Linked DNA regions of Diceros bicornis minor. The protein of the gene in region 1 interacts with the protein of each later gene in a pairwise test. Links are inferred from orthologs where the notes say so. Each region holds a gene or a part of one and is shown in the gene's direction. Other genes may lie near its edges.

What was found.
Region 2: the proteins of ERICH2 (region 1) and core histone macro-H2A.1 interact in binary tests that used the Homo sapiens proteins (3 or more experiments, as listed by UniProt). The two-hybrid records come from large-scale screens. The link is inferred for Diceros bicornis minor from reciprocal best matches to the Homo sapiens genes ERICH2 and MACROH2A1.

The regions. Positions count from the first base shown.
Region 1 is NC_080749.1:52,232,889-52,240,249, forward strand, and holds the start of ERICH2 (glutamate-rich protein 2), read left to right. Parts: upstream 1-4,359; 5' UTR 4,360-4,381; intron 4,382-4,507; 5' UTR 4,508-4,553; intron 4,554-7,361.
Region 2 is NC_080740.1:54,404,678-54,412,333, reverse strand, and holds the start of core histone macro-H2A.1, read left to right. Parts: upstream 1-4,653; 5' UTR 4,654-4,755; intron 4,756-7,656. UniProt on the Homo sapiens protein: Variant histone H2A which replaces conventional H2A in a subset of nucleosomes where it represses transcription. Nucleosomes wrap and compact DNA into chromatin, limiting DNA accessibility to the cellular machineries which require DNA as a template.

The DNA.
Region 1 (7,361 bases):
CTAAACTACAATCACTTTAAATTAAGACACACAATTGGAGATAGTAACATATTATTGAAGTTCTGATGAATCAAAGAATCATGATGTAAAGCCCATGGAAATTAGTTATCTACGTTATTGGTTGAAAAGGGAAAATTGTGGAGCACAAATATGTCACTGTGGTAGTGTGCTGTCTCCAGCATTACTCAGAGAAGAGCGGAGAACGATGGGATTCGGGTTGCTCCCAGTGTGAACCCTGATGGGGTCTAGCCTGAACTGGCAGCCAACTTTCCCCTTCCCATCTTATTAAAGTGATTAAGTACAATCAACCTTTTTTTAAAAATTGCTGTTTCACATATATACTAGTATTTAAATTCATCCACATACCAAGAATTGGAAACAATCATCATTTACATGAGGCCTAAAATGACAATGTTTTGGATCCAGGCTCCCTCTACTGTCTCTGCAATAATAAACAAACATTTTATGGCACTCTCCTGACTAGATTCCCGACTAGATGAAAGTCAAAGCAAATACCATCTTGTGCAATAATAAAGGATATCCTTAGTATGATAATCAGGAAGTTCAATATTTGGAGAAAGTTGAAAAAATTATAAACTAGTTAATGAAATATTTACAAAGATAGAACCACATGAAGTTGTCATTATGACCGTTTTTTAATCCGGAAATGGCAATTTCATTTGGTTCAACCTTATATACGAACATTAATTGTCAAAGACTAGTAGGGTGTGTGTGTGTGTGTGTGTGTGTGTGTGTGTGTTGGGGGAGGGGGTTATTACTTTCAATAAATAATCTCTATTATGAAATTCCCTAAACACATTGGTTAATTTGCATTATGTTTCTTGACCAAACTCAACTACAGGACATGTTAAGTCCGGTGCCTTATAGGGAGGGATGTGTGTATAATAACTTGGGTTTAGAAGAAAGAAATCTGCCTTCAGGTTAAAAAGTGTGAAGATACAAAATGTTTCACACAGGAAGGTAAATGAAAGAAATGTAGAAAAGCTCTGTGTTTACAAGAGTAAAGCTGGAAATAAAATAGTTAACATTTTAACCCTGAGAGGAGGAAGTAGGGCCAATTTGCATAGACTTCAAACAATCTCACACTTTTGAGAAAACCTGCAAATCCTGGAAAGAATTAGAAGTAAAAGCCAAAGTCAACACACTTCAAATACCCTTGATGTTTCACAGTCACTAACGAGAAAGCATCTTTTGGTAAGTTCACACTTGGCACAAAATAAATATTAATTCTGTTGTTGGTAATTTTCCAAAAAGTTAATATTTTACAGTTCAGGATTTTATTTCCTAAGTTTGCCTTTGAAGCAGGAAAAATGCTTTTTGAAGTTATGTTTTCATAGTCCTAGAAATTCAGTCTAAAAATGAAGGATGCTATCGAAGATTTATGTACAAAGATGTTCACTGAAACCTTATATTTATAGTGACTGTTCACCACTTAAGTCTTATGCCTAGCATAGCACCTAGTATGTAGTAAGCACTCAATAAATATTCTTGAAAGAATTAATCACAGGAGAAAATTTGAAAATTTCCAAATTGGGGATGGTTAAATGATTATGGGTAAATTGTGACTTATTATATAATATTATATATAATTTTGATTATATGTAATTATTAAAAATGTTTTGAAGACATTGGGGAAATGTTAAGACACTGGAGAGAATGTTAAGCTAAACAGATGTTAACAATGTGTACACTATCTAATAAAAATTTTATAAAGTAAATATATATGTGCATACAAAAAGGCTAAAAGGAAAAATAAAATTATTGATTGAGGTGGTTTTAATTTTTTTCCTTGTATTTCCTCTGTACATTGCAAATTGTCTATCATGAGTGTGTGTTACTTTTATAATCAGAAAAACATTAAATGTTATTTATGATTTTTTATGATGCTCTGCTAACATTCAGATCTGTAATAAAAATTTATCCATTAAAAGTCATGGAGCTAAATAAAAGGTAGTTGTTGTGCAGAGATTCAATATTTGTACATATAATAGTGGCTTTTCCCCTTCACTTTGATAGAACAAACCTTCACTAGATACTTTTGGTAATTTATTCAGTGGCCTGAATGCAGAAGCCAGAGCTAAACTGTTCTCTACTTTTGAGTATTACACCAATAACAACTTGTGTACAAAAGTTATAGAGATAGGTGAATTATTTCTCAAGTTATACAAGCAAAGATGAAATGTAATGTTTTTTCATCAGAGAGAAATAAAATAACCATCATGGATTCAAATAGGCACTGGGCCAGGCTCTTTACCTAAATGATCTTCAATCCTTACAGCTACCCTGGTAGTAGGTACTTTTATTCATATACATATTATAGTAGAAGTAATAATAATAGCTGAGTTATTGATCAATTGTCACATGCCAGGCTCTGTGTCAGGGTCTTATTTTTCTCTCATTTCATGTTTTAAGCTATGGGGGCAAGTAGTGTATATTACTCTCACTTTTTACTTGAAGACCCTGAGGCCCGAGGTGGAAGCCAGATCTAACCACTCCTCCATGTGGAGAAATATTTTTATTCTCTATCATTAAATCATTTTTGCCCCTTCTTTCAAGAACAATAAACAAACATTGAAAACACTGCATTCTACAAATGGATTTGATCTTCTTTGGGGGGGTGGGGGTGGAGGGGTAAGAAGAGGAAGCTTAATCAGTTAGAGTTGAGGTTTTCTTACTTTCCTTGGAATAGGACAATGGGAATAGCCAGTCAGACATTACCCATTTATTGGTACTAAGCAAATTCATCAAAATGAATGTTTTCAAAGGTATTGGTAAAGAAATATAATGAATTTCCCTTTGCCTTGTTTAAACGAAAAGTCTTCAATCACACTTAAGACATCAGCTATGTAAGGGTGTTCCCATAATAGAGCAGGTAGTGGTTTGCCATGTCCTTATCAAACCAGGATGTATTTGTCAATGACTTCATTGAGTTCTTCAAAAAACTTCCATTCTGGCTTTTTTCCTTTACCTCTTTCCTACCATCCAGGTTCCAAGGAGATTTAGAGTGAATGTGGACAGATGATTAAGAGATTTTAAAAATAACTGAATCTCTGTATACTCTTAGTTCCTGAAATGGTCCAGCTGGTTCTATTTTTATAATAATAAAATTGCCATTTTTTTAAGTATTTTCTACATGTCAGAGCTTTATACATTTTATATCATTTGAAGCTCACAACCATCTTTCAAGGGCACCTAACCCCAGAGGTTAAATACCGATTATACTGCATATCATGTGGCTACTTTAGTGAAATTCGAATCCAGATATGATTCCAACTAACGGGCTTCCTTCAAAACACGTTGCCTAGCAACAAATCGATCCTAGTGATTTCCCTACATCCCAAGTGGAGAAAAACAACCAATTCCTTCCTAGACGCCAAGCTTGAGAACAATTAGAATTTTCTAATAGAAATGTTCCCCCACCCCCTTCTGTGACCAAAGCAGTTATTTAAGCAGTAAAACCTCCCATTGGCCAACGTCAATTTCATCCGGGACTTGGCCCCTGCTGGTAAGGAGAGGAGAATCCCTGGTTCTGATCACGCGAAGCTGACTTCTGGGGAAACTGGCGTCCAGAAACCCCCAGGAAAACCATAATCTTTTGGGGGCGACCTCAGGTTGGGGGACCAAGTCCCACAGGGGACATTTGTTCATCCACATCCAGGGACAACCCTCTCTCCCAATTCAAGTCTTCTCCTTTTACTCCACAAGTTTAAAGTTAACGAGGGCACCCCGCCATTTTCCCTCTCCTCCCTAATAATAGGATCAGGTATGGACAAAGATATTCCAAGCCCGCTCCCTTCTGCCCTTCTCACTGTAACCAGTGCGCGTGCGGACGTGCGTCCCCAGGTGTATGCACCCAATTCGCGGCCCGGATGGACCTCCAGAACCGCAGAGATCTCCGGGTCCCGAGTCTCTCGCCCCGCCCCTTTCGTGACTCCCCGAGTTTGCTCCGCCCCCGTCACACCCCCGCCCTGCCCCTCAGTCTTGTCCCAGGCTCGCCAGGCCCCACCCCGCCCCCTCAGCCCCGTCCCGGCCTTGTTCCGCCCCCTCGGCCCCGCCTCTCAGGCGTACCCCGGGGGGTCTCCCCGCCCCGCCGCGCTCCGTCTGCCTCGCGCGCTCCTCTGCTCTCAGGGAGCACCCAGCCCCTTCCTCGCCCCTCCGCGGCTTCCCGAGCTTGCCCCGCCCCCGCCCAGTCCATTCAGTGTTTCCCCTCGGCTGCTCCCGAGGCTCGGGCTGCGCTTGGTCTCGTCTCCATGCCGACGCGGCGTCTGTGGCTCCTCATTACGAGCCCCGCGCGCACTGCGAGCAGGGGTGGCCTTCGGTGTCTGCCCTTCCGAGGGTCGGCGTGAGAGGGCCACAGCGGGTAAGAGGCGCCGCAGTGACGGCCGGTCGGCTTCTCCCCATCCCCGCGTGCAGCCCGACCCAGCCCTCACCTCGGACCCCCGCTAGGCCCGGCGGCTGAACCCAAAAACCTCTCTGCCCTTTCCAGGTTCGGGCTCTGGGGCCCCACCGCCGTCGAGGCGGCGCGCGCGAAGGTAGGATCCGCGAGGCTGGTCGCGCTTGCCTTCCTCTTCTGACTGTAGTCGGGCACTGAGGAAGGGATGTTTCTGTCTACGTGGGTGTGAGTGATAACTGGGCAGTTCTGACAAGCGTGTCCACACCACCATTCTCTGACCTGCGGATTCGCACGCGCTCCCCCCCCCCCCAAAAACCCAATGAAAATAGCCACATTCCATCTCAGGGCTTCCCACTACTTCTCTCGGTTCTCGCCCCCCCCCCCCTTAAACCTTTCTCTTACTCTTTAACTTTTACTTTTCTTTGGAAACCGCTTAATGGCCAATAGGAGCAAGCACTCACTGGCTGTAGTTGAGACACCATTACTCGCTAGATATACCTTCTCGGCCATAAAAAATTTCGCTGGAATTTGGGAAATTATTTAACCTCCCCGGCCTTGTTTTCATTTTCTGTAAAATGAGGAGCTTGAACAACGAATCCCTTCTAAGGTCCAGTCTTCGGCCTCCTTTGAGATGAGGAAGTTGACATGAGATTTTCAAAAGCAAGATGTCGTGGTCTTTTGACTACTCAAACTACACTGCGCCCCTGTAGCGTTTAAATTAACACATGGAGTAATTATAAATTTATCATTTGGCTTCCCTGAGGATATAGGTGAATTGGATGTATCGGTTCTTACCCCAAAAGACCCTTGGAAGTTGCTTTTTAAAAATAAATCTGAAAAAGACCCATCCAGTCTCCATTGTGCACTTAAAACTGGCTTCCTTAGAGTTCCCCTTCAGCGCTGTCCTTGCTAGGCTGTCGGTAATAATAATAGTAATAGGAGGAGGAGGAGTTGTAGTAATTATAATTGTAGTAGGAGATAGGTGCTACCATTATTTATTATTAGCTATTTATATTAACTCTCACAGTAACTCTATGAGGTAGGCAGTATTTTTATCTTCGTTTTATAGTCGAGGAAAATGAATCATGGAGAGGTTAAGGAGCTTGCTCAAGGTCACGCAATTTGCTGGAATTTGAATAGGCAATCTGACTTCCGAGTCTGGGCTCTTAGCACTATATTATGCTGTAAAGGAAATATATAAAATTTATATGTAGTCGTTTTAAAATATAAATGTAGGTGATAGATGATCATTGAAACCATTTTTATATACATTTGAGACTTTGCAAGGAAATATTGCCCCTGCATCCTATTATGTTTCCCCACTAAGCTCCTCTAGGTTGGAGGATGGTGCTTAATCAGCTCCCTCTCTCCTCACCACAGTTGCAGGGCCTGAGCATGTAGCTGTCTATTTCTTAATTCATTCTTTGCCTATTAGAATATAAGGTAGCTTATAAAAACAAATAGTACAACAGGATAAAATAATTGCACAAGTGAGATGAAGAAAAAAATACGTCTTCCAATATTACAAGAGAAACCAAAAATGAGAATTTTGTGAAATCTGAATTTAAACGTTGGTAAATCATTTTATAAAAGATTTTTTTGAAGCCTATCGAATCCAAATAAAACCTATTTGGCCCTATTGGCTGGTGGTTAGTGAACACTTACCTAAAGAAATGGAGATATGAGATGTTTTACATTCTTTTTTTGGTACTAAGTCTTTACAATCTAGTGTGCATATTTCAAATTGAACTAATAACATTTTAAGTGCTCAATACCACATGTGGCTGGTGGCTACCATATTGGGCAGCGAAGCTCTAGTTTAATACATTCTTTTCCTTTGCTTTCTTATTTCCTTCCTTCCCATTCCACTCGTTCAACAAATATTTATGCACTAGACACTAGAGATTTTTTTTTAAGGTGGCATGAGTTTATCTGTTCTTTGTAACCCAAAAAACCAGCTGAACTAATTGGGCCGTTGACTGAGGTTTTTGGTTATAGAGGGAGTCGACTTTTCCTTAAAGCCTAGAATTATATCATGTAAAACTCAAGAATTACTGGGAGCCATGTTTTGCACCTAAGTGTAGAAAATCTGTCTTCAATGAGAGGGAAGAATGAGGCCCACATGTGGAAGAAGCTGAGACAAACAAGGAACAGGGATGTCCCACTCACCTCCTTAACACAGCTGTCTGTATCCACTGTGTCCTGACTTCCACACTGTTTGGGTATTCAACTCTTGGATTCTTTGAGCCAACAGTTCTCTTTTTTTGCCTATGCTAACTTGAGTGTGGTTTTTGCCACCAAGAGTCCAGACTCATATAGCTAAGAAGCCAAGAACCAAGCCCTTTCTTTTAGAAATAAGCCCATGATGCACCCCCACCCTGCTATGCCCGACCCCCAAAGTACATTTTTATTTACATAATACGTAGAATATTTTCAAACATATATAATTACATAATTATGCCTTTACAAATCATTTTGTCATGTACATTTTATATGCTTATTTAACCAGATAACATTCGTCTTCTGATTAATACTACCCATCTTTCTATGTGAGTCTTTCAGTATTTTTTTCTTAATAAGAATAAATCTATATCTGCTTTTCCCCAACTCTTTTCTCTGAATCATCCTTTCCAATTCTATGGGCCTTTCTTTTTATAAGATCATTCTAAACCAGGTAAGTTACTTTATATCATTCCAATGGTTTTATTCATTCAGTCAATATCTGAGTGCCTTTAAAGTGGTGTGGGAGCCACACTCATGAGTAAGAACCAGTTTCTGCTCTCCAGAAACTTCTGTCTTGGTTGTACAGTCATTCCCTCACTCTGTAGTTATGTGTCTACAATATTGCTTGTGTGCATTTCCTGGACTGATTTTTTTTTTCCCTCCACCCGCTTCTTAAATGTTGGTATTTCGCAGGATTCTGTCCTTGGCCTTGTCTTATTCTGCA
Region 2 (7,656 bases), on another chromosome or scaffold:
GATTGGTCTCAGATTCTACATTGTAGTTAAGATGTGAGAAACTACTACTTTTTGAATTTTGATGTAGTGTCAAAGACGAACACCCAAAATTATCTGAAAAGGCTATTAAAATCATCTATTTTTCCCAAATACATATCTGTGTAAGGCTGGATTTTTTTTCACATACTTCAAACAAAACAACACATAGCAACTGATTGAATACAGGAGACATGAGAATTTAGCTAGCTTCTATGAAACCAGACATTAAAGAAATGTGTAAAATTGCAAAACAATGCCACTCTTTTCACTAAATTTTTTTGTTGTTTGGAGAATATAATTATTTTTTAAACAAATATGTTATTTATGTTAACATGTAACTTTCCATTTTTAAAATGTATCTTATTGGGGGCCGGCCCAGTGGCACAAGCAGTTAAGTGCGTGCGCTCTGCTGCGGCGGCCCGGGGTTCACCGGTTCGGATCCCGGGCACGCACCCACGCACTGCTTGGCAAGACATGCTGTGGCGGCGTCCCATATAAAATGGAGGAAGACGGGCACAGATGTTAGCCCCGGGCCAGTCTTCCTCAGCAAAAAAAAGAGGAGGATTGGCAGATGTTAGCACAGGGCTCATCTCCTCACACACACACACACAAAGTATCTTATTTATGAATAAAAATGAATAAATTAATAAATATTTAAAATTTATGTTTTAATTTCTAATAGAGCAATTGTTGATAGCTGTAACTCACACAAACAAAAGCTCTTTGCAGTCCTCAATAATTTAAGAGGATAAAGGGGGTCTGAACCCAAATAGTTTGAGAACTGCTGTTGTAGAATAACTACCTGGTTAAATGTTCATAAAGGACCATTAAGTTTAAAAAGCACGTGATAAGCACTAAACGCAGTAGGAACCTGAATATGTTCAATATTAAGTAGATATGGTTGCAAAGGCTGGAAGGCGAACAGTGGTTCTCTTCTAGTGGTGTACTTAGGGTGATTTTTATTTTTGGCACATTTTTATTTTCCAAGTTTTACGTGGTGAACATGCATTTATTTTGCAATTGGAAAAAAAACCTGAGGGCTAGCCTGGCGGCATAGTGGTTAAGTTTGCGCACTCTGCTTCGGTGGCCCGGGATTTGCAGGTTCGGATCCTGGATGCGGACCTACACACCACTCACCAAGCCATGCTATAGCGACGTCCCACATACAAAATAGAGGAAGACTGCCACAGATGTTAGCTCAGGGCCAATCTTCCTCACCAAAAAAAAAAAAAAAAAAGAAGCTGAGGAAGCCCCCTGAGCCAGATTGGGGAAGGGGACAGGTCACGCAGATGGAAGAACAGGGCATGCAAATTGCTGGAGAGAAAGAGGGTGGAGCCTTCTGGAGCGAGCTGGAGACAGGGCCTCTGCCTTGAACAACGCCAGGGGACAATATTTCTAGTGAGTTCTATGAGAATGGCACGCTGTGGAGGGGTGTAGGGGGTGGAGTTGGCACCAAGATCAGCTTTTGGAGGAGTGCAGACTCTAACCCAAGGACAGTGGTGCATGACCGAGTGGGGACAAAAAGATCCACTCTGAATTGGGAGGTGTGGGGAGGACGGATGCTGGGTGGAGAGGAAATGAAGCCCCCAGAGGGGCTCTTTTCAGGCCTGAACATGAAAGCTCTGGTCCCAGATGAACGTGGGTTTGAACCCCAGTGCCAGCCTACTTTCTCTGAGATCTCAGGCATTTTTCCTGGCTTCTTGAATCTACAGTGTCCTCATCTGTACAAAGGGGATAGAAACGTCCCAGAAACAGCCTGTCTGCAGAGCTGTTGTGAGGAGGAAATGATGGGATATACGTGATCTGGCAGATGGTGAGAGTGCAATAAGATGGAGAGCAAGAAACGGCCTTTTACCCGCTTCCCAGTCACCAGGCAAATCAACTGAGTCAGAAACCAATGCTGGGCTGGAGGTGAGGGAGTTACTTCTTGGCTTCCTAGAGTTGCAGATTGGGATCTATTGGACAATCATCCTCTGCATCTGGCCTTGGTCATCACTCAGGACCTGGGGAAGAAGCAGCCTCAGGTCTGACCACTACCAGGGCATCAGCAGGCTGCAAGCATCTCCCCCTCTCCACACAGCCTGGCCTTCCCCGCAGCCCAGCAGTTCTCTCTCGTTCAAGTTTCCAGGAGTACTGCTTATGTTTTGCACCAGGGCCTGGACAGTGTGGTAACACACCTAGAAAGTTTTCCTCTCTGGGAAGGAGCCTGGCACGACCCTGGCACACAGCAGGTGCACAGCAAGTGTTTGTTGAGTGAATAAATGGAGTCTGGCATCCTCCAGACTTGCCATGGCCCACAGAAACCTTGCGTGGTGGCTGGCCCCTGCGGAGCTGAGACTTGCCCAAGGACCCAGGGAGGGGCAGAGCAATGACATGAGGTAGTCTCTGCACCTTCCCTGACACCCCTCTGCAGCTTCCCTGGGGGATCCTTATGCAGCCAAAATACTTTGTTTTGGGACTCAAAGAATCATCATTTCTCCAGCCTCACCTCCTGTAACTCTCTCCCCTTTGCTCCTTCCACTCCAACCTCACACTCACTATTCCTTTTTTTTTAATTGAGATATTAGACACGTAACATTGTGTAAGTTTAAGGTGTACAACGTGTTGATTTGATACATTTATATATTGCAATACGATTACCACCTTACTGTTAGTTAACACTTACATCACATAATTTTCTTTTTTTTAAATTTAATTTTCTTTCTTATTGGGGAAACATTGGTTTATAACATTGTAAAAATTTCAGGTGTACATCATTATATTTTGCTTTCTGTATAGACTACATTGTGCTCCCCACTAAAAGTCTATTTATCATCTGTCACTGTACAAATGTGCCCCTTTACCACTTTAGTACTCATCAGCAGATGAATGGATACAGAAGATGTGGTGTACATATACACACACACACACACACACACACACACACAAAGGAATACTACTCAGCCCTAAAGAAAGATGAAAGACAAATATCATTTCTTTTTTGTGGTAAGAGCACACTCATTATTCCTTGACAATTTTGGAATGTCCAATTCCTGCCTCAGGGCCTTTGCACTTGCTGTTCCTCATGCTTAGAACACTCTCCCCCAGATATCCACGTGGTTTGCTCCCTCAATTCCTTCATGTCTTTGCTTAAATGTCACCTTCTCAGGGAGGCCTCTAAAATTTGAAACCCCAACCCATCTCACCCTCCCTATCCTCCTTCTCTGCCTTATTATTTTTCACAGTGTTTACACCATCTGACACATCATCTCTTTTGCCTATTGTCTTTCTTTCCCTACTCGACTGCAAACCCCAGGTGGGCGGGCATTTTTACCTGTTCGGTTCACTGCTTCATCTTTATCACCCAAATTGATGCATGGCACAAAGTAAGACCTCAGTACTTAATTGAAATGAATGCATGAATGGCATGCATTGGACACTGCTTTGCAAACTGTTACAGTTTGGTGGGTGTAAATCATCATCTGGAGGAGAAGAGGTTACCACCGCTGCTGTAGGGGGCAGCCTGAGGGCTGGGAGGGGTCTTTGAGGACTTCCATAATCGTCCCCCCAACACCTCCAGCAGCGGTACACTAAACCTCACATCAACTCTGCTGGGCGTGTATTGTTATCTAAATTTGGTCACAGCTGGGTGCTGAGGTGGCTTCCCCTTCCACGCTTTTGGCAGATGGAGAGGAGGAGAGTAGAGGGAAGGCTCCTATTTAAGTACTCCGAAGGGTCCGCTAACGCCTTCGGGAGAGAAAACAATTTAGCAATACAAAGACCGGCTTTGAGGTGGCCCTTCCTCTTTCTGCTTGTCCGCAGTTTCAAAAAAAGTGTGTGATGATAAAGAATCACTGTTTATATTAATAAATCCCCACTTGGGTCCAATAGAGAACGTTTGCTGAATCGAAGTAGCTAACGCTTCCATGCGCAAAGCAGGTGCAGCCTTCTGAGGGTCACTATGAAGAGCCCGAGGGGAGCCGGATGTGCAGCAGCTGGCCGTGGGGTCAAGTGTGATGGGGTTAGTATTTAGAGACCGCGGGAGGCTCTGAGGAGCGCGGGAGGTTTGCATTGGCTGGGGAGGGAAAAGTGCTTGCTGGTAACAGCAACTGTGCCTCCCTCCCTGGATCAATGGGAAGACTTCTAGGGATAAGGCAGCGAAAGGCCCGTGCTGAGGGCCAGGCACACGTAGGCGCTTAATCAGTGTCACTCGAGACACACAGGCTGGGACGCGTTCTGGAGGAGCGCCTCTGCCTGGGGCCCGACCCTTTCCAAGGACTTAGCTCAGGACGCGCCCCAGGCTCAGGGCCGGACCCTGTGTCCGGCGTCCACGTCCAGGCGGCGTGCCTGAGGGCGGAGGGCCAGACGCCAGGGCCTCAGGGCAGCCAGGGGACAGACTGACCGACGTCCAGGCGGCGGAGCGCCGAGGGCCGCCGCGCGCGCAACCGCGGGCTGGGGTCAAGGCCGGGGCGCCCGGGTGGCGCGGGAGGGGTGGCCGGACGCGCGGGGACGGGATGGGATGTGACGAGCGGCGCGCTGTGCATTGTGGGAATCCCGGGGCCGCGGCGACTGGTTCCAGTTCACTCAGCAGCGGAGCCGGGCGGAGGGGGCGAGCGCGCGGCGCGGGCGGGAAGCGAGGAGGCGGGCGGGCGGGAGCGCGGGCGGGCCAGCGAGGAGCGCGGAGAGAAAAGGCGCGAGCGGCCGAGAGGGCACGGGCCGGACACCTTGCTGCTGCCGCCGCCGTCGCCGAGCCGCCCCGTAAGTGCCGCGCGGGCCCCTCGCCGCGCGCCCCGTCCCCGCCGCCCGGGTCCGGCCGCCGCGCTCTTCCGGCCGCGGGTGCCTGGGAGCGGCCGGGCCTGGCGCGCACCGGGCGGCGCTCGGCCGGGCTCGGGCTGCAGCGCTCGGTGCGGCCGACGCCGGGGCCTCGCGCGCGCACGGCGCCCTCCCAAGGCCCCGCCCGGGCCGCGCGGGATTCCCTTTGGTTTTGTTCAAAAAGCAAACCCGGAAGCCAACTTCTCCTGGAACCGCGTCCCCCTGCCCGCGCCTGGGCGCTTTTGTGGGAAGGAGACAGTTCTGGCCCCTCCCCCGGCGTCCCTTCCCGGTCCGTGCGGGCCGGGCCGGAGGCCGGAGGAGGCCCCGCGGCGCTGGCTGGCCAGCCTGGGCCTGGGCGTCCAGGAGCTGCTGTGCCCAGAGTTGTACTTGGTGAGGCGGCCGCCGGCCCGCGAGTTGCCGGCCCCGGCACAATAAGTCGGGCCCGAGCCCCAGGTGGCCGTGGTGTAGAAGTCTGGCTCGGCATCTGCCGGGAGCGTAGGGTGGGGGACTGGGGGATACTCGCCGGACTGAAGCCAGGCAGGGGCGGGCAGGGGGCTATCCAGGGACTGGCTGGAGAGGGACCACGGGAACCCCCGCTGCTCTCGCTCCTCTCCTGATCGGCCTTTTGTTTGCTTTGTGGTTGGGAGTTTTTTTTTTAAGGTAACTCCGGAAGGCTGTAGGCTCCTGGGTGGAGGAGGCCAGGAGGGAAGAGACTCGCTGGGGGTGGGGAGGAGTGGGGAGGTGAGTGTGCAGGATGCTGCTGGCCGTGTCACCTGACAACAGGTGTGCAGGGTGGCGCGCCCCACCTCCACTCCTGCAGAGACCACGAATCACTCAAGGGTCTTGTCAATAGATTGCTTGGAAAGTCCTTTTAGACGAGATGTTAGGGAAAATATTCTTGAGTTTGAAAGTGCGAGATTTCTGTGCAAATAGCTGAGACAAACCTTGAATTCAACAGTTACAGTTACCAGGAAGTCCTGGTAAGGTTTTAATGATCCAATAAACAGCGTATAAGAATAGACAATTAGAGGGGCACTCCTGCTGGCTTCTCTTTTTCTTCCACCTTTGTGGTTTGAGGTTTTACCGTCGAAGAGGAGGGAAAGTGCTTTGTTCCAAGGCTCCCTGCTCCAGGAACTGGGAGATTTTTGAACAGCTGTAGGTTTGAGTGGGAGACTGTAGTTGCAAATTAGGTGGAGTCCACCTACTGCAGGCCGCCTTTAGGGTACTTGTCTGCTATTAGGAGTTGTTAGCTCTGAAATGGACACCTCATGCCTGCACTGAAATTAATACCCCTTGTACACAACTAACCAGGGTTGGGCCGCGACATCTCAGTCTTGCACGAGAGGCTCTCCAATAAGGATAGATGTGTTTTAAAATCTTTTTTGTTTAAACCCTCAAGACTTTAAAAGTTTCCCCCCTCTAGTTTTAAGAGGAAAGTAGGAAATTTCTCCAGTCTGTTATTTTGTTTTAATGTTACCACTGTTAATGCTAATCCTTAGATAAAGGCATTAAGGAGGAGGGAAGGGGTTAAAGTAAGTGAAAATTGTTTAGAATGAGCAAGGGATGGCTCGCATTTGGATAAATTTGAAGAGTTGTCGGGGACATCACACATGAGACTCTAATACACGACCGTAAGTCACTGGCTTGGTCTACACCAAATGTGCCAGGGTCAGGGAGTGGTGCACCTCAGTCTGCCATTTCTTCCGGCCCTGGAGACGGCAGAACTCCGGGAGAGCCCTCATCCCTTCCGCACGCAGAGGCTTGGAGTACGTGTATTCTGGGACTGCCTCTAATACCTTCAGAGCTAATGCTGCCCCAAGTCATTTAAAGGAGACTCAAATAAACAAAAACACAAACTGAAAACCCCAAGCTGACAAAACCCAACAAGAATCTGTATGTGGTGTTCGTCAGAATTGCAGCAGCCTCTTGGTCTCATTTGAGTGTGTCTTGGGTTTTTGACAGCCCCGTTGTTGGTACATAGGCTGGGAAGGAGCAGGGGTGAGTGGGGCCCGTACTTGTCCTTGGTCCTCCCTGGGTTCTGTAGGTTTAGGAGTACATTGGGCCCCACCTCAGCTCTCAAGAGTGAGCTCACGTGGGTCAACTCTTCATTCCAAAGAGTCGTATAGCTTGTTTGCTTGGATCAAGCCTGCCAGATGGGTGTCTTGCAGTCTTTTGATAAATATTTCCTGAGAATCAACTCTGGGTCAGGCACTGGGGACAGGACCATGATCAAGAAATGCCCAGTCCTTGTCCTTGGGAAGCTGATGTGAGAAGGAGAAATAGGCAAGCATCCGTTGCAAGGTCAGTGCAGGAGGTCAGAGTAGCTCCCATAGTAGCCCCTGGGACAGTAACCTGGCCAGGAGCAAGCCTTTACCAGGCACTGAAAGGCCACGTAGGAGTCAGCTGGGCAAAGGAGGGCAGGTGGGGACAAGTATTTGAGGCCTGGGGAACCACATGTGCAGAGTCTTAGAAAATGAGGATAGAGGTGAGAACTGCCAAAGGCTCAGGATGGCTGGATCCTAGAGGGGGGTCAAGTGAAGCTAGAGGGTCAAACAGGCCGAATCTCAGAGGATGCTGGTCAGCAACACTGAGGAATTTAGACTTCATCCTGAGAGCAGTCAGAAGCCGTTGAAGGCTCTGAGCCGGGGAGACACATGGTCAGATGTTCTTTATTCTTATTGGGAAGTCTTCATCTATTCAACGAATATTGAATGGCTTCTAGATACCAAGCCCTACCAGGGTCCTGCCCTTCTGAAGCTCGCATTTTATCTTTTCCTTTGATGGTCTTCTGTTGGAGTGGTTATCTCAGAGTTTGGCACAGCCTTTAATAGAGGAGGTGTGAAGGAA